2 linked regions of the Coturnix japonica genome follow. The protein of the gene in region 1 interacts with the protein of each later gene in a pairwise test. Links are inferred from orthologs where the notes say so. Each region holds a gene or a part of one and is shown on either strand. Other genes may lie near its edges.

Region 1 (15,378 bases):
ATGTCACAACTGCTTTTTGTCTGCTTGCTTCTCTCACTTACTATTCCTCATTTTTGTTTCCTTCTGCTTTACATTAGGCTGCCCAGACAGCTCCTGGGGGCTGACAGCCTGTGCTGGAAAAGCATGGCTTGCACTCAATCCCCTAGGGTTTCAGGGTGGCCCACGGGTACTTGGAAGTGGCAAAAGGAACTCAAGCAAAGAAGTCAAAAATAAAGTCGAGGGGGAAGCTGTATTTCCCCACTGTGGCTGTACTGGAGAGCTACGGGAAGGGGATGATGGTTTTGGTGGGCTGCTGAAGCTGACAGGTCAGAGAGGAGCCTACAGCCGTGCTGGCTGCCTTGGCTGGGGCTGTCAGCTGGGACCCTGTACATCACCGGGGGATTGACATCATCTGAATGTCTCATCTCTTCAGTTTTATCTCTACTGGCATCTACCAGAGCCAGTCCAGCACTGGTCAGCGAGGCGACTTGAGTGCTAGTGCCTGCCCTTGTGATGGGGAGCGTTGAGGACAAACATGGACCTAGCACATCTGCGGCCTCCTCCAGGCCCCAGGGTTTGCAGCACAGGTACTGCTCTTTGCCACTTCTCTGCCAGCTCTCGTTTACTCCAGCAGAAGTTTACTCCAGAGATGTCAAAGGAACGTAACAGAGCTGGGAGTCTGGCCCTGCTCTGTTTTGTACCCAAAGACATGAGCGACGTGGCCTCCACAACCAGAACCACGATCTCACCCCAAACACATCCCATAAAATACAAGACTGTGCTTTCACACGGTACCAGATTTTTTCTCAAGATTATGGCTTGTGTTATACCTGAACCCTGACTGAGAGGCAGCCAGCTTTTGGCAACATTTCATTTACGGGCATATAAACCACCATGTGAAGTACTCCCTGGCTCCAGAGGTTGGAGTCTGGGGGTGGGCGTGTGCATCTCCCTCACCTCCATTCCCTCCCAGTCCAAACCAAACAGCCTTTAGTTCTTCCCAGCCAAGAAATCCACCCATTTCTTGGCATTTCTACCCCTGGGACAAAGGATTGCTAGGAACTTTTGTTTTGCTTTTGTATTGAAGTAACAGCTGCTGTCAGCGCATCCCAATATCCACCCAAGGATCCCCCCGTGCCTCTCTGTATCTCCACCACTGTGACAGCAGCATCCTGGGAAGAGGTAACATGGATAGAAGTGGAATATGTCCTTGTGGGGGCTGGAAGGGCTGGCTTGTGGTTTCTGTCCTGTGCAGGAGGCAGGACAAGCATTGAGGTGCTGGACAGAGCAAATTCCCCCATCCGGTGACCTTGGCTTTGCCACACAAAATGAGAACCACGAGCTGCATCTGAAGATGCTGCAGAGTTCCATTGAATTCTAATGGCTTTTTATTTTTCTAGGGTGTCTTAAAAGAGTCTGGTTTTCTGTGAATCTAATTTTCTCTATGTGAACATTTGGCTTTTCTCCCCCCCCACCCCCTAAATAAGTTATTAAATAATCTCAGTGATTTCAGATTGAGACATAGTGCTGCCCTCAAGAGAACCCAAGATACATATTTACTGTTTGGGTTTGTTATTTTTGTGTTTCAAATCATTATTTAAGCAAGGTGAAGGGACGAGTGGAAACGAGGCCCTGATGCTTCAGAACGTAATGCTGAGTGCGCTCCTAGATCAAGAGGCGGTGCAGCCTAATGGCTTACAACAATACAATCACTGCTCGTCTTCCAATTAAACTGAACGAGTTCATTTACTGTGCTTCAAACAGCCTCGAGGAGAGACAGGACTATAAATTTTCTCAGCCATAAGGGGACCGAGGCCCATCAGCGAGCAGCGTGGCACAGACTCGCTCATCGCCAGAGGGTTTTTCTCGAGTCTTTTTCTCTGCTTTGAAATGAGTTGCAAAACAAGAGTTAATTTCTTTTTCAGAAGTGCATAATGTCTCCCTCCCTCTGTCTGTCCATGCATTGTACCAATGAAAGGCACACAAAGCTTGCAGCAGTGACCCCTGCTCCCTGCAGACAGCTGCCACCGCAGCACCTGCTGCCTTGCCGGGAGTGGGGCCCAGGGGGCTGCCCTTTAATGGGGAGATGGGCTGGGCTCTGCTAACCCTCTGCCTCAAGGAGGCAAACCTCCTCTCCGCCCGCTGCAGTGAGCACTTCCAGCTCAGTTTGGGCTGGTCTGGCACAGCTTTGGGATGAGGGTTCGCATTGTGTTGCCTCCTTTGGGTATCCGGGGAGCTGCTTGGTCCCCCCATGGCTGCACACTCTCCTGCCTCTGCTTGAGCACTGAGCTGCAAATTTATCAGGTGATAACCAGAGGTACATTCAGTCCTCTGGCTGGGAGGAACAGCAAAAGAGAGAGGCTTTCATGTTTAGGAAAGGCTTTGCCTTCCAGCTCCTGAAGAGCCCTGTTTGTCATCAGAAACACGGCGTGCAGCAGTTAAAAGAGCAGCTTTTCCTATAAAAACCACAACCCAGGCTGGAAAACAGAGAGCAAGAGCAATGCGGCCTGCAGGCATGCTATCAGCCTCCCCCAGCCCCCCAGCACACACTGTCCCCATCCCTGCACTGTATTGTCCCACCTGTACCTCCCTGCAGGCACACCAGCACAAGTACTGCTGCTTGGAACAACCAGACCCCACTGAGCCTCCCTGAAAATTTGGGTCAAACCTGTGTTAATTAGTGACATTGCAAACGAGCTTCAGTGAAAGCAAAGGAGCTGGCAGGGAAGGTAGATGCGGTGTGCAGTTATCTTCATCAGGTACAACAAAAGGCAATTAAGCTCACACCCTGCAGTTACTTATATTGCTCTGCTCAACCAGAAGCACAAGGGCATGGAATATATCCGTACAAATGCGGAACAGTGTCTGCAGCAGGACGGGGGGTTGCTGTTAATGTTCAGATATAGCAGCAGCGTATTACCAGTTCCTCTGCATGCTGAGGCACAGCCTCACAATCCTCTTTCTCAACAGGTGCCTATTGTGGCTGCGTGTGATTAAAGGAAAAAATGTGTGTGTGAAGCTTGGAAATTCATTGCTCAAAAGGAGCAGGGAGCTCTGGGGTGTTTTTGCTTGTGTGCATGCTCATGCATGCGCCAACTTGCACATAAAGGCAAGAGGGGAAGAAGCAGCGAGGTGGATGCATGGACAGGGAGCAATTCTGTGTGCCTCATCCCTCAGACTGCAGGTAAGCTGAGCTGGATGTGATCATTCCGATAGAAAAGAAGGGACAAAATGCCTGGAGACAACCCACAGAATGCTTCCACTTTTCAGAAGAAAATAGAACAAAATCTGGCCTAAAGTTAAATAATTTTTAAAACAGACTTGGAAATGCTGTAGCATTACCTGGAGGAAGTCTGTGTCTTGCCTGTCTGGGTGTCATCTGTGTGTCAGAGCACTCCCCGGACCATCACTTTCCTTTGGAGATATCACGGTGAATCTCCTCAGGTCAGGAGGGTTTGGGTTGGAAGCCCAGGCCAGGGGTTGTGGCACAGAGAATGTGTGGCATTAGCAGACAAGACTGAAAGCTCCCACTCTATTTTTCCCTGCTGGTTCTGAGTACATGATATTTAAAGACCTTATTCAGCACTTTACCGGGGCATTCAATTTAAACAAGTACATAAATGTGCTCTTGAACAGTGTCCCAGGAGAGCGTACTGCTTCCTGGGAAGAAAGAGGACACCAATTGACTGCAGAAGTGAGGTCTTTTTGCCATTGGTTTCTTTGTGTTATTAACTCACGCTGACCTTTGCTGAGTTGACACAAGGAAACACCCCAGGCCGATGGCAATGAAAGCTCTGCAGCTTGTCCTTTCTTTGCATGTGCTGCTGTAAGGACACACACGTAAGCACAGCATGCAGGTTCTGCTACTCGTGCTCTGCCTTACATGGCTTTATAAGCAATGACTCATTTGTGCACTACACACTCAGTAGGTGTATATGACAGGAGTAAATATATGTCTATGACTCTGGGAGACGGCTTGTGTCTGTCTGTATCCATATACGATCTGTGTGTACAGTGACTGAAATGCCAGCTGTGCAGGTGAGCAGAGAAGGCGCCTCCTCTTGCTGGGACTATCTCCTCTATCTGCAGTATGGCTCAGCTATTTCCAGTTGAAGACTGGGCTTAAGGGGAAAAAGTCAGTCCCCCACTATATTCCACTTCAGGGCTCAGAGGACTCCACACAAGCCGCTGGTAGCATTCCGTATCCACACACAAGCACCAGGTCCTGTACTACCTCAAGTCTTATGTAGAACTGCCCCTCTCCAGAACACCCATCAGATACTAACGCTGATCAAAGAGCATCACACCTCTGCTTGGCAGCTACTGGGAACAAGGAGGAAATGTTCCATGGGAAACAAAGATTTCATACCAGTCGCTATCTAAGATTTCTCTCCATTTTTGCTCCCTCTGTTCTAAGGCACGCATTATATCGTCTCTTCCCATGTATATGGAAAAACATCCCAAGGCACTGAGACTGACTTTACCCTCGGCTGCACATGCAGTTCCCATTAGCATCAACGAGAGCTGCACACAAGCTCTCAAGTTGGCCCCTGGGCTTGTCAGTCCAGAGCAACAGTGATCTCAGAAGGATCCCAATAGAAAACATCCCCTGCCAATAATCACCAACTCACTAAATGCAAATATTTCCTTTATATACGTCTGATTCCCTTTTTTACCCCTGAAGGACTAAACTTTCGGACATGAAGACCGATGAATTAAGTCCATGTTCAGCTGAGCAAAGACTGCATAACAAACACATCCCTGTGAAATATCATCGCTGAAGGCCACAGGTTTTAATCTTTTCTTTTTTTTTTTGTCCTCAATTCATTATTCAGAGGCTAGAGACTCGGCAAACCTTTCCCCTCTCCAACCCCACTCTTGAGGAGGAAGTGCTGAAGGAAGGAATGACTTTAAATACATCTGGAGAACAGCACCATTAATAAGTAATGCTGCTTTAACCAGACTTCGTCTAACATCGCTATAATCGAGTTATAAAAATTACATGGCAGACTTCTCACCCATATTCCCATGGCTACTGAAAGCAAAGAAGCACATTGTGTAATACTTACGACTTCCTTAGAAGACAGGAAGCTGTGCAGTGGGAGGGTTTGGCTGGCCTGAACCTCTGCAGAGGAGCTTCTCTTTGCTGGGACTTTTGCATGGTGCTGGGAGCGTCTCCGCCGTGCTTTACGCCCTTCCTCCCGAGACCTGGCTCTGCGCCTCCAGAAAACATGCAGAAGCAAAGTGTTATCCTCAGCATTGCAGCAGTGCCCACCAGCAGCTGCATGCAAACCCTTGCCTTCTCTGTGGAGTCAGGGTGGAAAGAAAGGGAATATTTTGCTTTAAAAGCATTTTAGTTTGCAGCCAGGAGATGCGTGGTGGGTTTTGGGTTTTAATTTCATCTCCAGTTCCTAATTTTACAGTGGCTCACAGCTTCCACGCAGCCTTGAATATCCCTATGGCAATATACCTCCAAGAGAAGACACTGCGCCTGCATGAACTTCCCACCTACTACTGGTTGTGTTCCTCCCTGCACTGATCGCCAAGTTTCCATGAGAAGTTTCTCAGTAGTTTTCTAAGTGGAGTGGGTCAGAGGGAGTGGTTTGTTCATAAAGCTCTTTAAAACAGCACATAACAAGCTCACAATGTGCATAGCTATTCAATTTGCTATGGCAGTGATGCGGGTCTTGCACCAGCATCCACTCAGCTGGCCTCGGGATGCATCTGTCATCTACAGGAAAGAGATTTTAATCAGGTCACAGATAGTGGCCATAGGATGCCATTGGCAAATACATTTCCATTGCTAAGAACAAGCTTGAAGCTTTCCTCGGACATTGGCAGTACAGAGCCCTGGGCTGGGGAAGGCAGACTGGGCTGAAGTCAGCTGTCACTGGCTGATCATCAGCCATGGGGATCAGAAGTGACTGTTGGGCTGAGAAGATGCAGCTACCACTTCTTGAGCCCAAACCCTCTGTTTTATGGCTGTGACCACAAGAAGCTCAACTCCCAACTGCCAGAGTGGGACATGGCTCTGCCCAGAGGGTCAGCAGGGCACACAAGACACTGCAGTCACTACCCTGATCCACTGCAGTGCTGCAGGGCAGCCAGTCCTGTGAGTGGTGACATTACCTGCTCCTGCAGCTCGGGGAATAGGAGTCAGAGCTCTCTGAGCGAGAGTGGCAGCGGCGGTGGCGGTGAGCTTTCCGGGTGCGCCCACGAGAGCTTTGGGAAGCAGAAAAGAAACTGTGGTTAGACAGCAGACCCAGGCTGTAAGACCCAACAGTTGGAGGCCAAAGGCAACGGCACTTACATCAGAAACAAGATCAGCATTTTAAAGCAAAGGGATTGGGGCGTGAAACATTGCAAAGGACACAAAGGCGTGAAAAATTCTCCATCCCTTCACGGCTGCCCTGACATCAAGACATGTCATCTTACTGAGATCTATGCTAGCATTTAGCTACAAGCTGTTAGGTTGCCTCTGCGCCCTGCTGGAAGATCTATGGACAAGTGCACAGGAGAGCAGCAGGCAGCACCAATCCTTTCTTCTTTAAAGACCCAGCAGAGCTATGTCACCCACTCCCCCCTCATCCTGCAGCCCACCATGACAGCCCAATGCTAAGCCCTGTTTGGGGAGCACCATCTGTCTGGGCAGCCCAATGCCAAACTCAAACCATCCCAGACTCCCCATAATACAGGATACTGGGTATCAGCTTTCCCCACCTTCTCAAGATAAGAGGGTCCAGCCAGTCCTATAATCTGCTCTTACTGTTGTAATAAACATGAGACAGCCTCCATAACTGCAGCCTATGCTGTGCACGATTTCTGCTTGAGGGGACAGGACCATTTATTTGACTTCTCATAGGTGCCCAGTTGCTGCCACTCCATTCTCTTACATGGCTACAGGACAGGGACCAGCAAACTGCACACAGACACAGGTTCACTGTCCTGCTGCTTTTCCCCTTGCTCTATTTGGGTTGTTACAGTTGGACTTGGCCCCATAACCGAAGGGCTGGGCCTGTCCTTGCCAAAAGCCCCAGTCCTGCACTCGGGGAGCAGGGTTATGTGAGTGGCAGGCTCTGAAACCTTCTGTGCTTGTTCCTTCTTGTCATGCCCAGTGCCCACCTCAGCAGCTATTTTGGGTCTGGCGTGTAACCATCTGCTCAGCCTGGCACTGCTGTGCCAGCATGCAAACCTGATGATGGGTTAGTTGACAGGAACAATCTGGTTTCATGGCCATGCTGTACCAGTCACTGACACCGTTAACATACCTGCCTGGACAGCATTTAGCAATGTGGCACCATAAAAAATCAGTGAACCAACTGCCTGAGCACAGCATCTCCTCCAAAACAAAAGGGCAACAATGAGGGCAATTGCTTGAACTCTGCTTGGCTGTCTTCTCTGATGCTGTTTATACACTATGATTGGATTTCCAGCATTTCACATTTGGGGAGCTTCCTTCCTTCTGCATAGTTGAAGTCAGCAGCACTGACTGCCTCTCCCTCCTTGCATGCTTTTTCTTCACCTTCTGTATCAGTCCCTCCAGTTTAAGAGCTTTTCCCCCATGTTCAGGAAGGACAAACTGCTCCCATGCAGTTTAGATAACAAGTTGTTCAACCCACGGATAAGCCAAACCCTGATTCAGGTTGGCTTATGGGAGCAACGGGGAGGCTTGACGAAGCCAGGAGCTTCAGTTCTGATTTCTAAGTTGAAAGATGAAGACTAAGGAGCCCTGGGGGGGTTCATCCCCAAAGAGCAACCCCAGAAGCTCTCATTCCCCTCTGTCAATGCACTACTGCACCCAGTCTCTGTTCTAACCACGCTGCTAGGCTAATGCAGGCTGGCCAATACTGTTGTGAGTGGAAGGTGCCTTCTAATACAGATAATCAAGGAAGTCTCAGCTTTATCAGTGATCTATAGGATTTCTGGGCACACAGCAGCTCAGTTTGCAGGAAGAAAATGGTGAGAACACGCAGAAATGCAGAGAAAAGGAGATGGGATTTCTGCATGCAATAGAGGTGGAGGTAGCACCTTGTGGATTCTAGTCCCAATGGGCAGCAGGGTGACACTAGCAGTGCTAGGGGCTCTTGTCCTTCTGTTCCCTTCCTAAGAATAAAGGTTGTGCTGGGAAGAATTACAGGACAGGTCATGCTAACGCCAAATAGACAGCAAATCCTGGTCTGCCAGCTCATCTCCTTTCCCTAACAGGGTATGCTGAGTCCCAGCAGGGCCAGCCAGGGGTGTGATAGCCAGGCTTCAGCCCCAGAACTGCTTCTGTGCTCTGAAAGCAGGTGAGAAGCCACAGGTTGCAAAATGGAAGTATTACAGCCTCTCCTCCTGTCCCCAAAGAACCATGTCTCATGCCATGCTCATGTCTGCTCCTTAAGACAAACATTGTGCTTGTCTTCTGCACACATCAGAGCAGATGGGAACCTCAGCTCCCTATTTCAATAGTTTCCATCACCTCTAAACAACCCCTTCTTTTCCCCAGCCCCCATTGCTTTCTGCTCCCATTTGGATATTTGGTTATATCACAAGCAGTCCCTGTATAACCTCTGCAAGCAGCAAACAAAGAAGAGCTAAAGCCCCTGTCAGTGAGAGTACACCATTGTGCAGAGCTGGGTCTACTACTGCCTTCATCAGAAGAGCTGGACCTTCTGCTCACAACTGGCAGGGCAGAGAATATTGTGAATCACTACTTACTGTTTTTTGTGTTTTCTTTCTTCCTTTCTCTTACTTTTGGGGCTTGAGGAACTAAATAAGAAATGGCTAATTAATTTGGAGATTTCTGTTCTGATTAAAATAAATATCAATATATCGCACGATCACACATCAACATTACAGCTAAACTGCCCAAAAACATGCAATTAAAAAATTGAAGGGCTGAATGTTTCTGACTCGACACAGGGGGTCTCAGCTCCTGCTGAGAAACCTGGTTCATTGGCTGGGACACAGTGCCTGTGGGATCAGCCAACCTTCTGGCTTTACACTTTCCCATAGAGAAGATACATGCACTGGAATCCGAAGAGTTCTTCCAGCATGCACCTGGAAAGGCACTGGGTTGGAATATTTCCTCACTGCTGGGGGATGTGTGCTGTTTGTAGGTGAAACCATAGGAAGAATGAAAGCTCAAGATTCAGAAAGTGTCCAACGTGGACAAGGTTGTGAGACCCACAGGGGATGGGGGGACCCAGGGGATTCCACAAAGAGTCATAGAAGTGGCTCCGCACCATGAACATCAACCTTGTGAGATCCTGAGGAGACCGTTTCTAAGGGATCAACCCACACGTGCTCAGCTCTTACCTGTGTCTTCTCTTCTTTGAGGATAACCTGCAAGACACAAAGGTGCACACTGAGTACAGCGTCTTACAAAACTGGAAGTCTGAATCTGACACAATCTGGTAAAGTCCATCTTGAGGCTGAGCACTAAGGACACAGTGCACCAGATGTGTCCCATCTGAGCTCCTAGCACAGTATCCCATAGAGCACCCAGCATGAAGTCCTGTCTAGAATGGCTGTGAGATGGCTCAAGGCAAGGCCAGTTGGGATCTGTAGTTGAGTGGGATCTCAAAATGACCTCCATTGGTCACTAACACACAGTGGTTGATCACGCTCCCTTCTGGGATGAACCATAAGCCTATAGTTCATCTTGCAGGGGCACAAATGGGTACGACAGGTGTAAAAATGATGAGCATCTGACCTGAGATGGATACCAGGAGGTGCCAAATATAGCATAGCATAAGAACCTGCTCTCCGAAAGGATATATTTTACAGGTATTTCTATCTCCTTCAATTCTCCCCCCCTTCCACCTTTTCCCATAAGAAATAAGCGCTGCTTTTCACTCTGTTCACCACTTTTGGTAGCTTCTTGCTCTCATTCAATAAATTATAAATACACGAACTCTCCCAGGGAGATGGCATCCACTGTTCTCTGCAAATATTGGTTTAACAGCTGAGAGAAAACAGTGAAATATTTGCAATTCCAAAATTTTATCACTCTCTTTAAATTAAAAACCAGCTTTCAGAACCTGATGCTTCCCCGCAACGCTTCCACAGGAGAAATACCTGTTTCTTTTTCGTTTCTTGGAGCTCTTCTTTTTCTTCTTCTTCACAGGCGAGGGGCTGTAGGAAGGAGACCTGAGGGAGCAGAGAGGCATCAGGGCCAGCACAGCCCTTCACCCCCAGGGCTGCCCACCCTGAACCCCACCACCAGGCCTTGGGGCTCAGGCAGAGCTGAGGCTGAGCCATGTTCTGGGCATAAGGGGAGGATGAGAGGATGGCCAACAGATCCCCAGCCCCTCACACCTCTGTTTTATACCCGTTTTGTTCCTTCATGCACCAGGGGCTGCAGGATGCACTTCCCCATGAGGCAAGGCCCAGGCCAACATGGCCACCCTCACCTCCGTCGCTTCTTGCGGCTGGATTTCTTCTTCTTCTTCTTCCCCCGGGCCGGCGGTGGTGCACGTTCACCATCACACGATGGGCTGCAGAAGCCAAACAAGACTGTAAAATAAACTGATAAAAGCACCATCGGAATGACCTCACTTGGGGTTGCCCACCTCCACGTGCCACCATCCCTACCTGAGGGCCAACCAGGACAGATCAGGGCACCTAATTACCCTCTAATTACCCTCACTTGAAATTAAGTGCCTCCTCCGTGGGTTTAATGGAGATATAATGAGGCAGACACTGTACGTGGCTGCGACGCCAGCTGGTTATTTGAAATGAGCTTGCTGAGGTTAACAACTCCATGACAGATTTATGGGTTTCGCTGCTTTGTAAATATGTTTTAAATAATTAATTGGCATTTGATTTGCATACAATAATTATTGAGACCGAGTGAATCTAATGGTAATGGGAGACATGGCAAATGTTAAATAGCAATTGATTAGAAAAAATATCTATTTATTGACATGCTACGGTGATTTAGTGAGATAAGCATCTCTTACACAGCGGTTAAACTTGGAGTGGGGGGGGAACTGTCTATTAATTTCTTTTTAAATTGTGCTATGTTTCAGCAAAAAGCAAACGGCAGTTAATGAATTTGGAGCACTGGGCTGGAAATGTGAAATGAATGAGGGTTGGTGACCCTAAAAAAAGGCAGTGAATGATGGAAACTAGAGCACAGGATCCATGCCTCAGCATCCCCACTGCTCATCCCACTGGCTGCAGCTGCCACCATCAGGACCTCGTGGTTGAAAAGCCATCCTCACAGGGATGTGGGCTCCAGCATAGCTCAGCCCCGTCCTCATCTCGTTCTCCATCATCATCCCCTGCCATGTCTGTGCCAGGGCATGAAGAACCTCCAGGCTGTGTGCTCAGCTATAGGCAGCCTGCCTGGAGCCCTCCCCCTGCTCCCAAGATGAAGCCTTTTGTCTTTGAAGTGGAAGCCTCCTCCCTGAGCTGATCTAACTTTAATTGTTCCTCTGTGATTGTAATCAGAGTCTAATTAAAAATACACTTTAGATTACTGTTCCGGTTAGCCTGACATCTGAAGATAGTAAATGCACTTTCTGTCTCTTTCTTTCCAAGCAGAAAGGCCTTAAATCCCAGTTCAGCAGCAAAGGCTGAGACCCCAGCTGCCTTGCTTAGCAAGCTTCGTTCATTTTTACCCTTGCAAGTTGTCAGGGGCTAACAGTGCACAGATAACAAAGCGATATCCTAGTTAGGGCAATGCTGCTGCTCTGATCTCAGTGTGGGTGATGGGAACTGCTGAGGGTGATCCACAGCCAGAGGGGAACCCAATGTGCCCCAACCCCTGACCAGATCTAACAGCCTCAGCAGGGATGGGGATGATGAACCTCACGGTGGGGTGGTTCTGTCCCTACCTGCGTGACCTGTGCAGAGCAGGGTTGCGTCTCTCCTTCCCTCTTGCCCAGCCATTGGTGGTGGAGGTCTCCTTGGACACACAGCTGCTCAGCTTCTCAGGACGCCGATCCTCGGCAGAGTATGGCAGGCAGCTGAGCGTCCCACTGCATGGCAAGAGGCCAGAAAGAGCAATAAGAGAGCAAGAAAACAAAGGGAACCACCTGAGCCATGCAGGTGCCTGCATGAGCCCCAGGGAGCCCACATTGAGTAGAGCCCTGCAGATATTTGTTTCAGAGAATGGAAGCATTGATGGAAAGCCATAAACCATACCCAGTGCGGCACTGAGAACACCACATTTTTGGTGCCACGCAGAGTATTATATAAAGAAATAAAGGAAGTATCAACAAGGCCAAGCCTGGCCAGGCATTTGGTCTTTAGAGACCATCACAGCCACCAAATGTGGGCTGCAGGGCCAGGATCAGGAGTGGTGCACATCTTGGGGGTTCAGTGATGCCAGGAGGGAAGCTAAAGTGCAGTTCCATGGGGAAGCAGCACATCAGCCCCAGCTAGCCGTGGCCAGAGGCTTGCAGCCCCTGGGAACTTTCTGCCTGTCCCAGTCATGAGAATCACAGTTCTGGGGGCTGGAGCTGGTGCAGAAGCATCTGTCAAAGTCAAAGAGACTTAATTCCTATTTCCACCCATGTTCTCAGGAAATCCCCACCTTATCCAACAGCCCTTTCTTTCTTGGAGCACAGATTGCAACGCCTGAAGGTTTAGGGATGAACATTAGGCAAACACATATGCTGGGGGTCAGTGGGATGAAGCTGGAGGAAATATTTCCCACACAGGTGATGCTGGCAGATCCAATGGTCCCTCCATCTTTACAATCTATTACTCTGCTTGTAAAAAATTTCCCAGTCTTTTCCCATCATCCATGTTATTTTTAATCATCCAGGAAGCTACATGGTTAATCACTTACTTTTTGCGAACTAATTAGCTTGTGGCATTTCCCAACCCCCTTTTAAGAACAGTCTTTGGAGGCTCAGTCATTAGGATCCATTAAAAATGTCCCCAAATTAATGACCTGTGCAAAGCTGGAGCAGCTCCAGTGGTGCGGATGGGGGCTCTCCCTGGGCACAGTGGGTGATGTCCCCACTAATGGCATTTCAGGTCCCGCCGTTGAAACACATTAGCCTGAAGGCAACCAAGGGCTGCTGTCCTGCAACACGCTGGGGACCATTTCTTCTGGGCTTGGAAGTAATTATTGATGGAAATAATTATTCTCCAATCCCATCAAAGGCTGGCTTCAGTTCAACCCAATACTCTCCTCTGGTGAAAGCTGAGAGTCACTAACGCTCTAAACGGGCTGGTAATCCCTTTGTGTTAAGCTCTACAGACATCGATTGAACAGAGAGATTCAAACATATATATATTTTTTGTCATCTTTCATGGGCTGGGCCATGACAGCTGGGAGAGGCACGGAGGACAGGGCAAAGGCACAGAGTGTTTGCTGCCTTGGGAGCAAACCGTGGCCGTGTACCCATCACTGTGCACATCACCATGGGCACATGCCATGCCATCAGACCATGAGATGCAGCGCTGGGTGACACAATCCCCTCCCCTGTCCTCAGGCTCCTGAGTCCCTGAGCCATCTCCTGCCACAAAGCTCTCATCAAACGGCCTTTCTCCTGCAGCTCCTCATCGCTGGAGGACTGAGAAGCTGAAAAACTGCCTTCCTGGTGAACCTTGTTTGGAGGGCACAAGCAGAGTTGGGTGCACAGAATCATAGTCATGGAGTCACGAAGGTTGAGAAAGACCTCTCAGATCCTCAAGCCTTAAGCCCAACCCACCCCACCATGCCCATAACCGCATCCCTCACTGCCACATCTCCACATTACTCGAACAGCTCCAAGGTTGGTGACCCCACCACTCCCTGGACAGCAGTGCCAGTGCATCACCAGCACAAAGACATGCACACCCACAGCCCTGGGACCCCGCTGTCCCACACCCGCTGTGGCTGTGCCACACTCCTCTCAGAACACATCCCTCTGTGCAGAGGAGGCTTTCTGCACTGGTGAAATCACCCTTTCCTTTCTCTCTTGCTTTCTGCCTCTTCTCAGTTGATTGAAAAAAGAAAATGGTTGACCCGGCAGAAGGAGGGGGGGAAAGGAGAAGGTTGTAAAGAGATTTCCACGCCAAAACTCATGCAGATGTGTTTACGTAAATCCCTTTGAAACAGGCTCTAAAAATACTTCTTTAAAATTACGAGGTGGGGGAGGTTGTAAGTGCTTTCCACAAACACAGCCACAGAACCAACCGCACGGCAGGTTCCTTCCCCGCCTCATCCAGACCGCTGTTATTAGTGCAGCAGGAGCCCTGTCGTTTGTTATTGGAAATTATAATAGCAAATCACCGCGATATTCTCCCTGATTGCACGGATCCTGAGCCAGTTCAATTTTAATCTTCTCTCCACTGTTTCCTCGTGCATCAGCAGAGGCACCAGCTGCAGAAAAGCGCGTGGCTTTCTTGAAGCAGCTTAAGCACAGAAAAGAAACACAATTCCATAATAGGCATTTTTCATCCAATTTTTGCCTCTGTGGCTCACCCCCCTCTCACACCCTTGCATCCTGCTGCAAGCCCAAGCCCAGCAGCAGCTCCTTTTTGCTTCTTGGCCTCCAGAAATGTTTCACGACCTTTCTTATCACAACCTGGGCCAAAAAAGCAGCTCGTCTCTTCATTTTTTCCGGCAACTGATTTGCTATGCATGGCTGTGTAAGAACAGAGGTGGGTTCCCACCGGTGGCAGGGCTGGTGCCAGGTGCTCCGAGGACACTGCATGGTCACAGCCCAGGGATAGGGATAGGATGGGGTTTGGGGATGGGCTTAGGGATGGGGATGGTAAAGAGATGAGGGTGGGATGGGGATGGAGATGAGAATCAAATGGGGCAAGGATGGGATTGGGATGAGGATGGAAATGGGATGGGGATAGTGAAGCAATGAGGATGGCAGCAGCGTTCAGAATGGGGAGAGGATTGAGGATGGGATGAGGAAAGGGTTGGGAATGGGGATGATAATGGGCACAGAGATAGGAGTGGCTCCATCTCCATCATAAACTCCCGCTGCAGGCAGCTGCTGGCAGCACTGGGGCAGATGTCCCCCCCATAGCTTAGTGCTCCAGTCCTGATGAGGACCCTGCCTTCGGGTGTCCTCCTCCCCAAGATGTTCCTTTCAGGGAGCAGCCCTTTGCCTCTCCTGTTCCTAAATCTCCCTCCCTGGCAAACACCCTGCAGGTTCCCACACCTGGAAAGGTGACAGTGATGTCAACCAGCTCCCATTCCCGCACCAGGAAGGGCTGTGGGTCCTCACTGCAATTCCCTTGCCCAAAGTCCTGCTCTGTTGAGCAGGGCAAATGGCAGCAAGATAAATAGTTTATTTGCCAATAACATAGCTCGTTAACTTCTAATTGAATCGCGGATTGTGAGCACACACTTGTCAGGAGTGATGGGAGATGGCTTTGAGCATGGCTCTTAGCAGGGCTCAGGGGAGCACAGGGAAGTCTGTCAGGGGATGCTCCACACGGAGCAGGAGTGTTCCC
Region 2 (15,378 bases), on another chromosome or scaffold:
AGCTGCTTCATTCAGGCCTACAAGGGAAATACTCCTTTGAAAAGGGAACAAGAAATTAAAGGCCAAAAATCACAAATGAAAGGGAATTGGATTTAAATTGACTCAGTGTCTCTTCTCACTGCATTTATAGGAAAAAAAGAATAATGCATTTAATTTCAGTGAGTGTACTGTTTTTATAAGCAAATGACTTCAGGAAATAAATGTATCATAGACATAGCATATCTAAATGAGAAGAATACATGGACACCTTCAAGTATGAAATATTGTAGAAATTGTGTTTATGCAACCAAAGACTTTTTGTTCATCTGCATTTTTAAGTCCGTAGTTGCGATAATTCTGCTTTTATTCAGTTAACATGTTACAATTGGAAATAACTGTTTACTTCTGAATTTGCCATTATACCAAAGAATCCTGTTAGGATCTGCATATCCAACTGGTTAAAACTGTTAAGGTGGCATTGCTTTTTGCAAGACAACTGCAAACTGATCATTTACTAGCAGCGAAAGTGTATTTACATGTAATTATCTTGATCAAAACTGTGCAAGTTACTATATTCAAGAGGGAATGCATGTAGTTTAAAAAAAAAGAAAAAGAAAAAAAAAATCAAAATAGGGAAACTATTTTTAAAGCAGTACTGGCTTGCTCTGACCATACACACAAGAGAAGGAAGTAGCCTTTTTGACTGTATAGAGAGGTATGTAATGAAAATAGGATACTTTTGAACATGGGAGCTTTACAAAAGGGAGTTTTTATGATTTTCTTTTGATCTTTACAAATTAATTTGTATTTATTCGTGTTTTGTAGTTACGCTTTAATGGGTGTATGAGCGCCTTTAAGAAAAAGTGTCAGCTTTATTTTGACTACTTTTCTTGGCTTACACCTTTCACACGTTGACACATCCCTTAAAAACTGTGCAGTAGAAGCAACTGATTTGCAGTGAGAATTTTGTATACTACGTTCATTGCAAATTGGGTAAAGTGAAATGGAAATAAGAGTTTGCCATTTCTTGCAGCCTCTCAGAAGTTGTACGCTAGAACTGTTTCACTTGAAGAAATTTCTTTGATGTATGCTTTTGAGTTCTGGGAAGGTAGTGGCACGCTTTGGAGTAGCAGAGTGCTACTGTGTGCATGCATGGTCCCTGAGAATGCTCAGCTTGCTTTCTTTCTCTTCCCATCCCAGGAACTTGACTGTAGAATTCAAGCAAGTAGCGCCATATGTGTTTTCACAAAACTTAGCTTTGGCATTGTCGCTGGAAGCAGTCATGTGGTGCTAGCACAAGCAGTTACACAGCCAGCTGTGGCTTAATCTAATCTAGACTAAATGTAACCCACCAGCAAAAGTTTGGCACTGACATTTGTTTCCTGATCCAGATCCCAGTAGAGGTGCTGGTGGCAGCAAAGGGGATGGTAAGGGCAGAGGTGGGCTGGGTCTGGGACTGCAGCTTCAGTGGCTGTTCCAGAGCGGAGCCTAAGAACTTGCAGCATGCAAATGTATCCATTTAAGCCATTTCTGGGATTAAAATATACCAGATTACTCGAGACCATGTTGAACTGAAGGCACACAAGAGCAGTTGTTAGCATTTTAGCCCTGTGCACAAGGGCAGGGATAGATGAGGTTCAGGTGGTGTTTGAAGGACCCTTGGTGTGAGACTGATGTTGTGAAATTACTTTAAGTCAAACCTGAAGCGATTTCCTGTGTATGAAGCATTTTTGAAGTTTACACTGTCACTTGTATGTGCTTGGCTGGGTTAAGCTTTGTTGTGATTGTGACAAATAAACTGTTTGACCTTTGTCGTACTGTCCCATTGGTTTAGTTGTAATAAATGTCCATTTTTACACCATTGCTTTGTGCTTATATGTAATTAGTTTGGATTTTCTGCAGAGGGGGAAAAAAAAAGAAGGCTACTCATTGCTAGTTGAAAAAAAGAGGGGAAATTTATTACAGTGCTTAACTTGCTCTGGAGCACTTTATTAAAAAATGTGCGAGAATACTGTGTCCAAGATTAGTTATTTACAGCCATTTAAATTCTACAGAAAGCAATAAATTAGCAAGTTCTTTGGAAGGCTTATCACACTGAACATGGAATTTATTAGAAAGGATGGTAAAGTGATGCCATAGTCCCATTTCATTTGAAATCAAACCACATACTGATTGAGAGAGGGTTCTAGATGATACAAACTCGCTAGCCAGCTCCTCAAGTGGAATTACGCTCACAATGTTAGAATCCTCAGTTCAGCCCCAGATTTCTCTTGGCTGGAAATTTCCAGCTTTCTAAAAGAACTGAACTTGATATTACCAGCAAAAGCATGGGGAAAGCTTAGTGTGCTAGGGCATTTCCTCAACCTAATGTGAAAGTGAAGTTTTGTGTCTTGAATTTCCTGTCCTAGCAGGAGACGAGCATAATGAGAAGCGAAAAGCATCTGGTAGTTTCTAGATTGTTTAGGTAAAGGATTGTTGGCTTGAATGTCTTCAGTGTAATCGTGGAATCTTTGTTGAAGAGACCTTCCTAACTGCCTGCCATTCCTTCTGAGTCAACGCCGTAGCGATGGTCACGCTGCGGCTGCCTTTGCCAGCTTACCGTGTTCATGGGCTGTGCCTGTACAACTTGCCTTCCAATCCGTCTCATAGTTTTCTGAACCGTAATTTGTCAAAGTTACCTTTTATTTATTTATTTACATGTCGGTGACAGATGCTGCGCTCAGCTGATGCATCAGAGCGGAATAAAAGGATGGATGGAGTAACAGGGAGTTATTTTAATTACAGCAAGCTTACAGTGAAAGCAAAATCAGTGGCGCTTTTTATAAGTGTAATTTACTTCCTTATATCATTTAATTTTTTGACTAGCATAGCCTTTCACATTTTGTAAGAAGTGCTGATTCAGGGCAGGAAGTAAGAACATCTCTGAGCAGGCTCTTGCATTTCTTCTGAAAGCCATTACTTTGCTCATCCTAAGGATGATGCTACTGGTACAGGTATATAAATACACTGAATGTGGTAATGCGCAGCTGAATCCGAGAAAGACATCCTGCTGAAGGATGATGTAATGCTGAAGAAGTTACTTACTTAAAATACATTTCAGACTGTCCGTTTACATGAGCAAGGGAAAAACCTTTGTCTGTGCTTGTTGCCTCTTCGTGAAAATGGATGCCTTCCATTCATCATGTGAGCGTGGGTGAGTCCTCCTGACACCTGTGTGATGATGGCTACTCAGCAAGCATGGCAACCATGATGGGAAGGGAAAAGACTTCAAAGCAGTCACCAGCACAAACCTGAAGGTATGCTGCCTTCCCAGGTGCCTGTGTGCCACCAAGTATTCATGCTGCTGGTGCTTAAGGGAGCTCCTTCTCCCTTTTAGCAGCATTCCCTTCTGCTGCAGGACACCTGCTGTCTTACTGTCTTGAAACATTTTGGGGTAAGCCCCTGGAGTTGGATGATTTTATGAAGTAGCTGGACTTCCACATTCAAGTTCCTGCTCAGGTACCTTACTTCTTCCATAGGAGAATGGTCAGAGCAGCACCCGTTACCCATCCTGACCTCCTCAGCTGTCAGGCCCTGGCAGGAGGGCCCAGCTGCTGCTCTAACCCCCTTCTTGCAGCTCTTGTGTAAATAATGCTTTCATCATCAATCCAAAGCACTTTAGTGATATTTACAAACTTCATAATAAAGTTTGAAAGCAGCTGCTTTAAGCAGTCATTCAAAAAATAAAATAAAAAATAAAAGCACAAATAAAGCTTGACAACTGTTAATGCACTTTATGTAGTCCTTCTATGTGGATCACGCAGAATAGCACAAAGTGAGAACAAGCTATTCCTTGCAAATCTAATCCATCCTGCATTGTTCCGGGCTTTTCTCCTTTGGAGAAAGAAGCTTAACGTTTAGGAATTTTAGTTCAGAGTAAATAGCTCACTTAGCTAATAAGGAAACAAAACCATGCATACGACACTACTTAAGATTATGAAGTATGGAAACAACATTGAACTATATGAACTCTTAACGTCTGAAAACTGGTTGAATTCCAGGTTTCATGCTAACAAAAGCAAGCAAAATGTCAGATCTAAAGCATTTGTTTCAGTGCAATAAGCAGACAGCATGTGAAACCGAACAGTTACAGCTATCAGTCCTACAGCACACAAGTACAGCCAGGGAGTTTGGATCCAGATATCAAGAAAAAAAGCTGAAGGTTTGACCATCAGAGTAGCAGAAATAAGGTACATTTAAATTTTACATGCATCTCTGAGCAAGTTTTATTATTAATATTATAAGAACTTTTTTTTTTTAAATACAGCCGCTCAACTTCCCAGATCCCATTACAAAAATGTGGGGAGAAGAAGCCTTGGAATTCTCACGTGGGTCTTAGTTGGCGCATAGTTCCTAATCCTACAGAGGTCAGCTTCACTTTTTTCACCCGGCTTGTCACAGATATCACAAAATCAGCATCCCACCACACCGGCCTTATCTTCTGGTCAAGCTTAGTAGTTTATTTCCTTCAGATAACCCTCAGCAGCAGCCTGCTGCATGGCATGGGCTATACAACACACTAGAGTGTGTGTTTTAGAATGCCAGTTGCAGGAAGCAAGGCAGCGCCAGTGGCGTGAGGATCTTACTGGCCTGTTAGCGATGCATCTCAGCAAGCAGTAAAATGACAGTTTAGCTGCATGAGTTTGCTGTACTCTGCATAAGTACCCCAACTAGACAAGCGAGCATCCATGAAAAAAATAGAAAACTCAGGGAAGATCTGCATGGTGTAGTCAGAAAAGATACATTATAAAAAACCGGTTGTCGCAAATTTCTCCCATATAGTTTGAAACTTAGTGCTGTCCATTGAAATACGCCTTTCGAGTGAAGTTACCTTTACTTCAAAAGTTATGCCATTGAATTACAGTTCCTACATCTGTTAATAACTAAAACATCTAAATCAAATTAACTAAGCTACCGTTCTGTCTACAGTTATGATAATATATAGTGAAAACTGGGTTTGAACTGAACAACAATATATAGCGCTTTTGTTGTATGACTCCATAGTGGACAACAGTTAAACATGAAAGAAGAAAAGGTATCATCAGCATGCTGGGTGCTATATGCATTAAGAAAAATAATTTTATATTACAATAACAATTTGTAATATATAATAATTTATATATTACAATATATATATTGTAACCAGGAGCAATGTTCATCTGCTCTCAACTGTCCTGGGAAAAAAAAAGAATGCTGTGAGAAATGCTATAGTGAGTTTGGAAATCCAGATTTTTGGTGGGACTTTACGCTGTATTATTGAATCATAACAAATATCTATTTGGGAGCATTTCACATTTGCTTTGGGCTTCTAACAACTTAGAGCTACCTCCTTGAAGGCAGGAATCCCAAATTCTCTAGAGAGGCTGAAGAGAGGGAGGTATCTGCACACAGATCAGGGCAGCTGCACCTTACATACCACAAACTGCTCTCTCCACAAACACACAGATGCCATAAGTGCCTAAGTTAAACACCTGATAAACCGAGTCCATTTAACAGCTTAAATCTTTCATTTAAAAGAGAAATATTTATAAGGACTGTGCTAATTGCAAGTACTTTGCTAACACAGCTGTCATTTCAAGAAAGCTTCATTGTAATAACTTCATTTTTATGTACCCCACTCTCTGCAGTGGCAGTAGGGTGCCTTAAACTGCTTATAATACAAGCCTAAAAGGGCTTCAAATCAAGTCCTCATCTCAGGAAAAAAAATCCAAAACCCTGAAGTATTATTTCAGGTATAAACCTTTCAGTTTCTTTAGCCACTCTGCAACATCTCTGCAGTCATCTTGAGCCTTTACAACTTCATTTGCATGTTTAGTGACCAGATTTAGACTCTCCCTACCGCTCCACCGCAGGTTAAGCAGGAGGTTTCCAACTACAAATGGCATGCAACTAAGAGGTATGAAAACTATTTTCTGTTTTCACTCCAGGATTACAAGTGTGTGGTCTCCTCTCTTACTTGGGGATTAAGGTACTAAATAAGTTGATTGTTTATTTTTTCTGTTCTTCCTACTTGGTTTTAGTCTACTGCAATCCCTACAGGCAATTAGCTCAGCAGCTCAGTCATGGGAGAGAAAAATCCAACACTTACGACCACAAAGCTCCTACTGGGCAACTATTGTACAATCAAACTGTGAAGTCTTTTTAGATCCCTTTTCTCCAAGCATAAGATGATTATATTACTTTGTCTAGAAAGAAAATTCCCATAAACATTTGGTAAACATAAATGGCTCTCTTTTACACAGTCTTCAGTTTGCAGTATGCTGTTGTGCGGATTTACAGCACACTAGCTGTTCTGTACTAACTCCTTACAGGGACAGTAAACACTTAACACACACATAACACGGGCATAAGCATATACCAAAAAAGCTTTACTTCTTTCTATTTTGTACTCAGTATGCATCCAAATGTTGCAGTAGTTCAGAGGGACAGAGTAGCTAGAGTACTTGACATTTACACCTTATATAGGACTTTTAATTTTCTGAAGCTTAGCACACAGTAAACTAGGGTCCTTTATTCGGAAGAAACGTTTTAATGTGCAAGAACACTTTATTTGTAACTCAAATGTATCTGGTGCCCTATTGGAAAGGTTTCTTTGTCAGCTCTACATTTTGATCAGTTAGCAATTTCTTAAAATTATTTCTCACTTTGTTTTGGGAGTTTCACTGTTTCTTCCTCTGCTGCTTGACCTCTTTTTGCCCCTACTCCTGGATCGAGAGGAACTCCGACTTCTGCTCCGACTGCGTGTTCGACTGTAACTTCTGCTCCGACTGCGTCCTCTCCTCTTTCTCCCTCTGCTGCGTGACCTCCTCCTTTCTCGACTTCTTGACCTGCCAGACCGGCGCCTTTTCTTGCTTTTGCGGCGATTCTTTTTTCTCTCAGATTCCCCATTTCTCCGGTAAGAATGATCTGGGCTTGGACTGCCCCTTCTCCTTGATCGGCCATAATAGTCATCACGATGGCTCGATCTGTTTCTCCTTTCAGAGTTTTTAGATAACTGATTAGTCCGTTCTGGAGAAACACGTATGTCTCTATTGGCCTCCCAGAACTCATTGTTTGGATTTTTGAATACATGAAGAAAGTTGCAGTGTTTCCCTCTTGGACACTTCTGCCTTTCAAATAAGCCTGCAACAGATATGGGGTGCTTTTTATGAACCAGACCTGTTAAAACTGCATTATGTACTTAATGGAAAGAAACTTATTGAACTGAATTTTGCTTCTATGAACAGAAAAACATGTACATGAGCACCTATTTTACCCAAGATTACTTCTATGTGTACTTTTCTTGGAATTAACTTTTTAACATATGTTTAAGATGGCTTTTTATGCTTTAGCTTGAAACAATTTTATAAATACTTTTATTAGCCTAAGCTGTCAAAGAATGTACATGGAGCGAAGTCAAGTGCAATAATAACTGCTGATGGTTGAGACACTATTGTTGCTTTTGAAAGAGATAAACTGCTATTTTCTGCACTTCCACCTTATGACTGTTATTATTCTGAAAGCTGGGATCCAAATTTTCTTTTCCAGTACATGGCAAATCTACCAGGATGATATGAACGCATACGTCATATGACAGAGATATTCCCTTTCCTTCCTAAATCTACACAAGCAAATAAGCGTATTTGTCTTTGAAAAAGAAATTAACGTGAACTGAAGCAGTGGGTGAATCAAAGCAACCACTTAACTCCTATTTTTTTCACTTCTAAGCAAACTTTCAATAACACACGTTCTATTTCCTGAGTGTTTATGCAACTCACCACAAATTGCAGTCTTCCACCTTGTCACAGGACAAAATTCACAATGAAGCTGCCGGCCTGCGTACCATCGGCCACTGAACAGAGCAAGAGCTGCCTGACAGTCCTTTTCCCTTTAAAAAGGAAAAAAAACAACAACCCACATAACCAAACATGCAGTGTTATTGCTGTACAATCGTTTCGGATGTTATTTCCCAGTTTTAAGATCTCATTACAGTATGAGAATAAATCATTTGGATTACACCGTTTTCATTACTGGACTCTGCAGTTTAGTTCTGCAACTTGGTAAGACTGAATACTCACGTCTGATACTGGACGTACACATTTCCTCGTAGGTGAGGCTCATAGTTGCAGCTGACCTAAGGAGATTGAAACATTACATTAGGGCAGTGGAAGGCTCATGCTATACAGCAACTCACACGCGTTGAATTGGCAGCCATTCCAATTTATGACAGCACATCAGCGTGAATTTGCACATTAGTTTCTTCTGAACACAGTTTTAGTCAAATACAAGGTTTAGAAAACAAAAAGATCTTCTGCTTTATTTTTGTATGTTTCCAGCATTTTGCTCTGATTGACACTGTGACCTCTGTTCCAGCCTACAAGGCAGCTTGTACTCAGTTGTCTTACACTGAAGAAGTCTGGGTCAACCCTACTCCACAACAACCAAATACAGTCATCCTATTCAAGATAAGTAACAATGTCAATGCAAGAACAAGTAAGAACGACATCATGATAGGCATGTTTGGGTGGGAAAAGAGAAGAAGCGTGTCTTGTCAAGACCTGCCAGATTCTGGACTAGCTTCCCAGAAAAAACAGTAAGAATAAAACCTTAGGCCATGTTGGAAATGGAAGTCAGTTGAAAGAGGGATGTGCGTTACATGAGTGTAAATGGTAGCAGAGACTCAACCACAGTTGAGATTCTGGCTGTCAACACATAATTTCTAAGCACCTCTAATAAAACAAGAACGCCTCCAAAAAATCAAATTAGAGTTGCACAATTGCTTCAAATGCTAAGAAAGCCTTGACTAGAAGCTCTTACCTCATGATTAGCTACAAGGACCCAAATACATGCAACGCAGCAGATAGCTGCATGTAACACAACCAAGATACTACTACCTTAAGGATGTGAGTTTGATGGTAAGACTTTGACCCTTGAGTCAAAGTATGGGGACGTGGGAGTGGATTCTCATCCAAATAAGTGAAGGTTTCTTAGAAAGGTGACTGAGAATTCACTGATTTTACTTAACTTTCCTCTTGCTTGAGATGCTAGTATAATCTCTGTCCTGAGGCAGTTGTCAATACAGGGAAACAAAAAGAGAAAAGGCACTTCATGCCTCCTGGTCACTACAGAAAATCACTTGGCAATGGCAAGCAAAAAGGGATGCTTCGCTAAGTTCTGTTACAAGGAGATTCTACCATCCGAGCTGTACATTTTAGTGCAACAAGGCATCATTCATCTCGAGGTCTATACTTACAAGTCCCTCATTTTTCCTCATTAGAAATCATAATCTTTATAAGGGGAAAATATATATGTATATATGTATCCAGAAACCAGATACAGAAATTAAGGGTGGATGACAAACCTCAACACCATTTAAATAGCATCTTTACAAGATGGCCAGTTCAAAGTAATTCTTGCTACTGAAGTATATACTACCTTTTAACTTCATTGTTGAGTTTATTGCTTCAGTTCTACAATGACACTGCTTGGGCGCATACTCCAAATGAGTTATCATCTTTCCTTCAGCATAGTTCTAAGTTGCACAGTGACAATAAGTAGCAATAACAGCCCATACATCTTTACGTCATGTAACAGTCTTAATTCACAGGCCCCCTGGGCTTATCACAGGCTAAACAGAGAAGGGATTATGAGTTACATGGACTCTTATTCTGTATGAATATCTGGCAGTATAAAAGCACAAGTTTTATAACAACTCAAGAGAATGGGAGAGAAGATTCACCCAGAATGCTCTGCAGAAGCACTGAGAAGTTTACAGGTGTCATGAAAGATGTACAGTTGAGAGCAGACACAATATAGATCCTCTGAAGTACATGGGATTTACCTAGACCATACTGCACTGAATTCCCTAAAGGCTAGTAAAACACAGCTGACGCGGTATATGTTCAGAATTTACAAGCTGTTACACTCGTATGCATACCTTGAATTGAACAACCTTCCCCACATTCTGAAACTCAGGGAGCACGTCCTCGTAGAACTCTAGGAACTGTTGATAGGTCTCCTCGTCACTGTACTCGAGGCTTGCATCGGTGTCGTAGTCATCCCTTCGACACTGCTCCATGCCAAAAGTAATGAACATCCCTCGCACAAGCAGTGTCTTACTAGATGTAGGATAGTTATGCTTACGGGAACACCTGGATGATAGTAGAGAAGGAAGAAAAATATTTGCACTTTTGACAGAAGATGCACTTGTTGAAACTTCGAACACTCACCATTTTGAAAGAGTTAGTACAAAAATAAAAATTCACTAGCAGAATATCAATGTATTTCAAGTATTAAGACAGATCTTTAGGAGGGAGGACTTTTACTGGTGGTGTTCTCAACACATGGGGAAGAAGAGATTGTGAAGAGGTGAGAGGGGTGCCAAAACAAAGGCATGTCTAGACTCATAGTTGGATGAGACTGACTTTTTCCACTTAGAGAGCTTACTACAAACAAGCCCTATCTAAAGTCTGCATCTTCTTGGCAGCTACATAAGTACTGGATCTCCCTCACTGTGCATCATCTTCAGGCTACCTCCCTCCCATGCTGAAATTCAGTTCTCCCCCACAGACCTTTAGATTCGCTAAGATCACGGATGGTAGACTCCATGTTTACTTCAGCATGCTTTATGATTGCTGTTTCAAACACCTCACAGACTAAGTGGATCAGATGCTCCCCAGCATGCTTCTCCTTTCTATGATGTGATCAGAACGACTGTCAAGACTAGTCTACTCTCATATTTAGCAGTGGCAAAGCAACAGAAAAACTGGGGGGGGGAGACCAGGTCTTGAAACCAGCAATTGCAGTCCTGCTGACTCATGTTCAAACAAAATGTCTAGTTATTAGAGCCTTCTTCCATTATCTCTTTGAAAGTGAAATGTCTAGGCTAGTTAGCCACTCCTCCTGCCAAAGCTGTTCTTCATTTTTGATCACCTTATTGTCCTTCTGTGTTCTTGCCTTTTACCACTTTTCCAATACAAAGCACCCACAGTAATATACAGGAATCAAGAATGAAAGTATCACAGATTTAACAGTAGACAAAGAAGAGAATTCTGGAGACTACATGCTTTTATTTTATTTTTCAAAGATGCAGCATATGTAAGCTAATCAAGATGAAAAACACCATCTGACACGCCAGGCTTTCACTAAAAGCAGAAATCAATTGTATTCTGCCCAAATACATTAGCCAGAGCTAAAGTAGAAATCACTTTAACCAACAGAACCAGAATGTATCATCAGTATCAACAGCATTGTATTACATGTATTACAGTATCAACTGTAACATTGCTTCAATTCCAGCCAGGCAATGGTTTTGTCTAGTTCCATCATGAAAAACAGAAACCCACCCAAATAAATAGAAGTAATTTATCATAAAATCATAGAATGGCTTGGGTTGGAAGAGACCTCATCAAGTTCCAATCCCCTCGCCACTGTCAGGGTTCCCAACTGCTAGATCAAGCACTAGATCAAGCTACTCAAAGCCCCAACCAACCTGGCCTTGAACACCTCCAGGGATGAGGCATCCACAACCTCTCTGGGCAACAAATTCCAGCACCTCGCCACTCTCGTAAAACTTCCCCCTGAGATATAATGCAAAACTTCTCTCCTTTAGTTTAAAACCATTCTTCCTTGTCCCATCACTATCTACCTGTGCAAAAAGTATATTTCCTTCCTGTTTATAATCTGTCCTTAAATACAAGAAGGCCATAGTGAGGTCTCCCCGCAGCCTTCTTTTCTCCACTGAGCACATCCAGCTCCTTCAGTCTATCTTCATAGGAGAGGTCCTCCAGCCTCCTGGTCATCTTTGCGGCCCTCCTCTAGACCCTCTCCAAGAGTTCCACATCCTTTATGTGATGGGGGTCCCAGACCTGGACACAGTACTCCAGAAGGGGACTCAGAAATTAGGAGGGGAACAATCACCTCCCTCTCCCTGCTGGCCACCCCTCTTCTGATACAGCCCAGGATACTGTTGGCCTTCTGGGCTGCAAGTGCACACTACTGGCTCATATTAAATTTTGCATCTAGAAGATCGCTATGTCCTCCTCCACAGGGCTTCACTCAAGTTCTTCTCCCAGTCTGTATACATCCCTGGGATTACTCAGACCCAGGTGCAAAACTTTGCACTTCACTTTGTTGAACATCATTTGGTTCACATGGGCCCCCCTTCCAAGTGTATCAAGGTCCTTCCAGATGGCATCTCTTTCTCCTGCTGTATCAATGGTACTGCCCAGCTTGGTGTCATCAGCAATCCTGCTGAGGGTGCAGTTGATCCCATCATCTATGTGATTGATCAAAATGTTAAAGAGTACCAGTCCCAACACAGATGCCTGTGGGACACCACTCGTCACCAGCCTCCACCTGGACACAGAACCATTGACCACAACCCTGTCTGCAACCTTGCAGCAAAAATTCCTTATCCAGCAAACAGTCCACCTTTCAAATCTATATCTCTTCAATTTAGAGATAATGACGTGGTGAAGGACCATGTCAAAGGTCTTGTACAAGTTAAAGTAGATGCCATCAGTTGCCTTCACTTTGTCCACCAATGCCATTACTCCATCACAGAAGGTCACCAGATTGGACAGGCACAACCTTCCCTTGGTGAAGCCAAGCTGGCTGTCTTGAATCACTTGCTCATGTGCTTTAACATGTCTTCCAGGAGGATCTGTTCCATGATCTTCCCAGGCATAGAGGTGAAGCTCAACAACCTGTAGTTCCCTGGGTCCTCCTTCCTCCTCTTATAAATGGGAGTGATGTTTCCCTTTTTCCAGTCACCAGGGACTCTGACTACTGCCATGCCTTTTCAAATATGATGGAGTGGCTCAGCAACCACATCAGCCAGCATCCTTAGAACTATGGGATGCATATCATCCAGTTGCTTACTTCCTATGCTGCATGCACTGGTATAGAGGCACTTTGGTTGGGCTTTCAGACATATTACCTTCCTAGAGGACCCCTCCCACAAACACCTTGGTCAAATCCGAGGTCTTCCCCCACTGCTTCCTAAAGTAACAGTGTTCCCTGGCTATCTGTCACTCAGTAGTACACCCACTCCCATAGCACTAGTTTAAAACCCCGGTGATGAACCCAGCCAGCTTGTTGCCAGGTATATTCTTGCCCCTCCTGGTCAGTTGTGTCCCATCCCATATCAACATTCCTGGTTTGTCAAAGGTGTGTCCTAGATCATAGAACCCATAGCCTTCAGCATGACACCATCCATGCAGCCAGTCATTCAACTGATCCGTTCTCCTCCTTCTCCCAGATCCCAGTCTCCATCTGGCAGGACTAAGGAGAACACTACCTGCATTCCTCATCCCTTCAATATCCTTCCAACTGACATAACGTCTTCTTTGATATTTTTTTAATTTCCTGATCACAGCCTCATGCAACCCAGCTTGAAAGACGAGCAGGCGGTAGCAGTCAATCGACTTTATAATATCTATTATCTTCTTCTTGGTGTCCCAGATGTGGTTCCCAGAAAGCAGCAAACCTCTAGTCTAGAGAGGTAATCCAGGTGGTAGATGGATGCCTCAGTGCCTCACAGCAAAGAATCTCCTTCGCCTGTTTTAGTGGCACCAGTCATGACTTGAGTCCTTGGTTGTACTTTCTAAGGTGATCAGCCCTTTTGTATCCACGGGGGGGTGACCCCACTTCTCCCAGCTCCACCCTCACCACATCAGAGCGCTGCCGATAGGGGAAGGTTAATGGCTCCCTCAATCGCTGAGGCAATCCCTTGCTTTGGCATGGAATGTGCTTACCCTAGAGACAAGTGCCTCACAGAAAAGGCATCCTTTATAAAGCAAGATCAAGATTCTTTTCAGTTTGCTCACAAGCTAATGAAGCTGCCTTCCACCACTCAAAAAAATTCATGTGCTGGTAATATTCAATTGATTACCTGTCTCCAAATCGGCAGGAACCTGTTTTGATATAAAACGGGCAATTTGCTCTATCCTTCTCTGTTCCTATATTCTCCGGGGGCTCTGGGTTATGCCAGGTCACACCATTCTCCAGCTGTGGAAAAAGAAAAAGCATTGAAACAAAATTAAGAAATGTTTTCTTCTGCTAAACAAAGTTTCTTAAGATTTCATAACCCAAAGAACTGTAGTAATAATTTGCTCCTCGGTCAACTATTTCATTTGGAATCCACAAGAATAATGAATATTTTGACAGGCTCTTCCCATTCAGCTAAGCCTGTCTGGTACTTCATGCCAGTATGCACTGAGCAGCACTTTTTACATCTGGCAGATAAAAATACAGGACTACTTACTTGCCTGCCTTTGCAACAGCTCAAAGCTCAGTAATTTTATCGCTGTCACTTTTTATGCAGTTAGGAAACGCTCATATAAAAGTAACCTGTAATTCTGTAACCAGAATTAAAAACAATTAAATTCACAGTACTGGAACTAAAAGCCTCAATACTGCTCATCTCAGGCAATCAAATGAAGATTTCTATAATCCAGATTGGGATAATCAATGTACAGGCATGAGATGACTATCAATAAAGCACATTTTTAGAAATAAATTTTCATTTTCTTGGCCAAAAGATCCGTGTAGCCAACTACACGTGTAGTCATTATAGATCAACTGAAAACTGTTCATTTACAAGCAGAACTGATCCTGCAACCAGTTCTACTCGTGACTTTCAGCCGTAATTTCTTCTCAACAAAACAGCACCATCACTTCAACAGCATGGAAGCAGCAGAACTCTGAAGTGACTGATACCATGCAAAGACTCTAATTCACCACATTTCTGTCTATCCCCTTACTGAAATGGCTGTTAACACATCTGAAGTGCTGGGCAGGTAATAGCTCAGAGCATTTTTCTACTCATATTCAAAAATAAAGAGTCAGACTGTGTACCTAAAGACCCATTTAAATGCAATTCAGAACTGAATACTACTCCAAAGCAGTCAGTGGCAATCAACACTCAATGGGTAACACTCAGTTATAACTTAAATTTCAGATTTACGCAGAATTTTAAGCAGAACATGACTATTCAAAATACTCAATTGTGTATCCATATATACTGGCATAAAAAGTCAAGTTATCTTCTAAGGAAATATGAAAAACCAAATTCATACTCTCTTAGGTTCAAATGAATTTCCCTTACTACACACTGCCAGCGTGAAATACATGCTATTCCAGGCACTCTGGTAGTCACCTTCTCCCCAGACTGTTTTTTACTCTTCAGGATCTGTGCTTTCCTATGCTGCTGACTGGTTTATTTAGTCTACCATCTGCTCAAAAACCAAGTTAGTCTCACAGCTTGGAAGGACTGGCAGCTTTGTTTAGAAATTTAATTCGTAAGTACACTGATACTAGTTTCTGTTGTTGCTGTTTCTTTAAAAATAGAGAACACATCAGTATTTCCAGGTTCATTCT

Evidence for each region.
Region 2: the proteins of SRRM4 (region 1) and ZRSR2 interact in binary tests that used the Homo sapiens proteins (3 or more experiments, as listed by UniProt). The link is inferred for Coturnix japonica from reciprocal best matches to the Homo sapiens genes SRRM4 and ZRSR2.

What each region holds. Positions count from the first base shown.
Region 1 is NC_029530.1:8,638,740-8,654,117, forward strand, and holds part of SRRM4 (serine/arginine repetitive matrix protein 4), read right to left. Parts: intron 11,949-15,378; coding exon 11,805-11,948; intron 10,461-11,804; coding exon 10,377-10,460; intron 10,114-10,376; coding exon 10,042-10,113; intron 9,307-10,041; coding exon 9,280-9,306; intron 8,731-9,279; coding exon 8,680-8,730; intron 6,202-8,679; coding exon 6,109-6,201; intron 5,200-6,108; coding exon 5,049-5,199; intron 1-5,048. UniProt on the Homo sapiens protein: Splicing factor specifically required for neural cell differentiation.
Region 2 is NC_029516.1:109,797,555-109,812,932, forward strand, and holds the end of ZRSR2 (U2 small nuclear ribonucleoprotein auxiliary factor 35 kDa subunit-related protein 2), read right to left. Parts: intron 14,008-15,378; coding exon 13,892-14,007; intron 10,149-13,891; coding exon 9,935-10,148; intron 8,132-9,934; coding exon 8,076-8,131; intron 7,886-8,075; coding exon 7,776-7,885; intron 7,141-7,775; coding exon 6,659-7,140; 3' UTR 3,738-6,658; downstream 1-3,737. UniProt on the Homo sapiens protein: Pre-mRNA-binding protein required for splicing of both U2- and U12-type introns. Selectively interacts with the 3'-splice site of U2- and U12-type pre-mRNAs and promotes different steps in U2 and U12 intron splicing.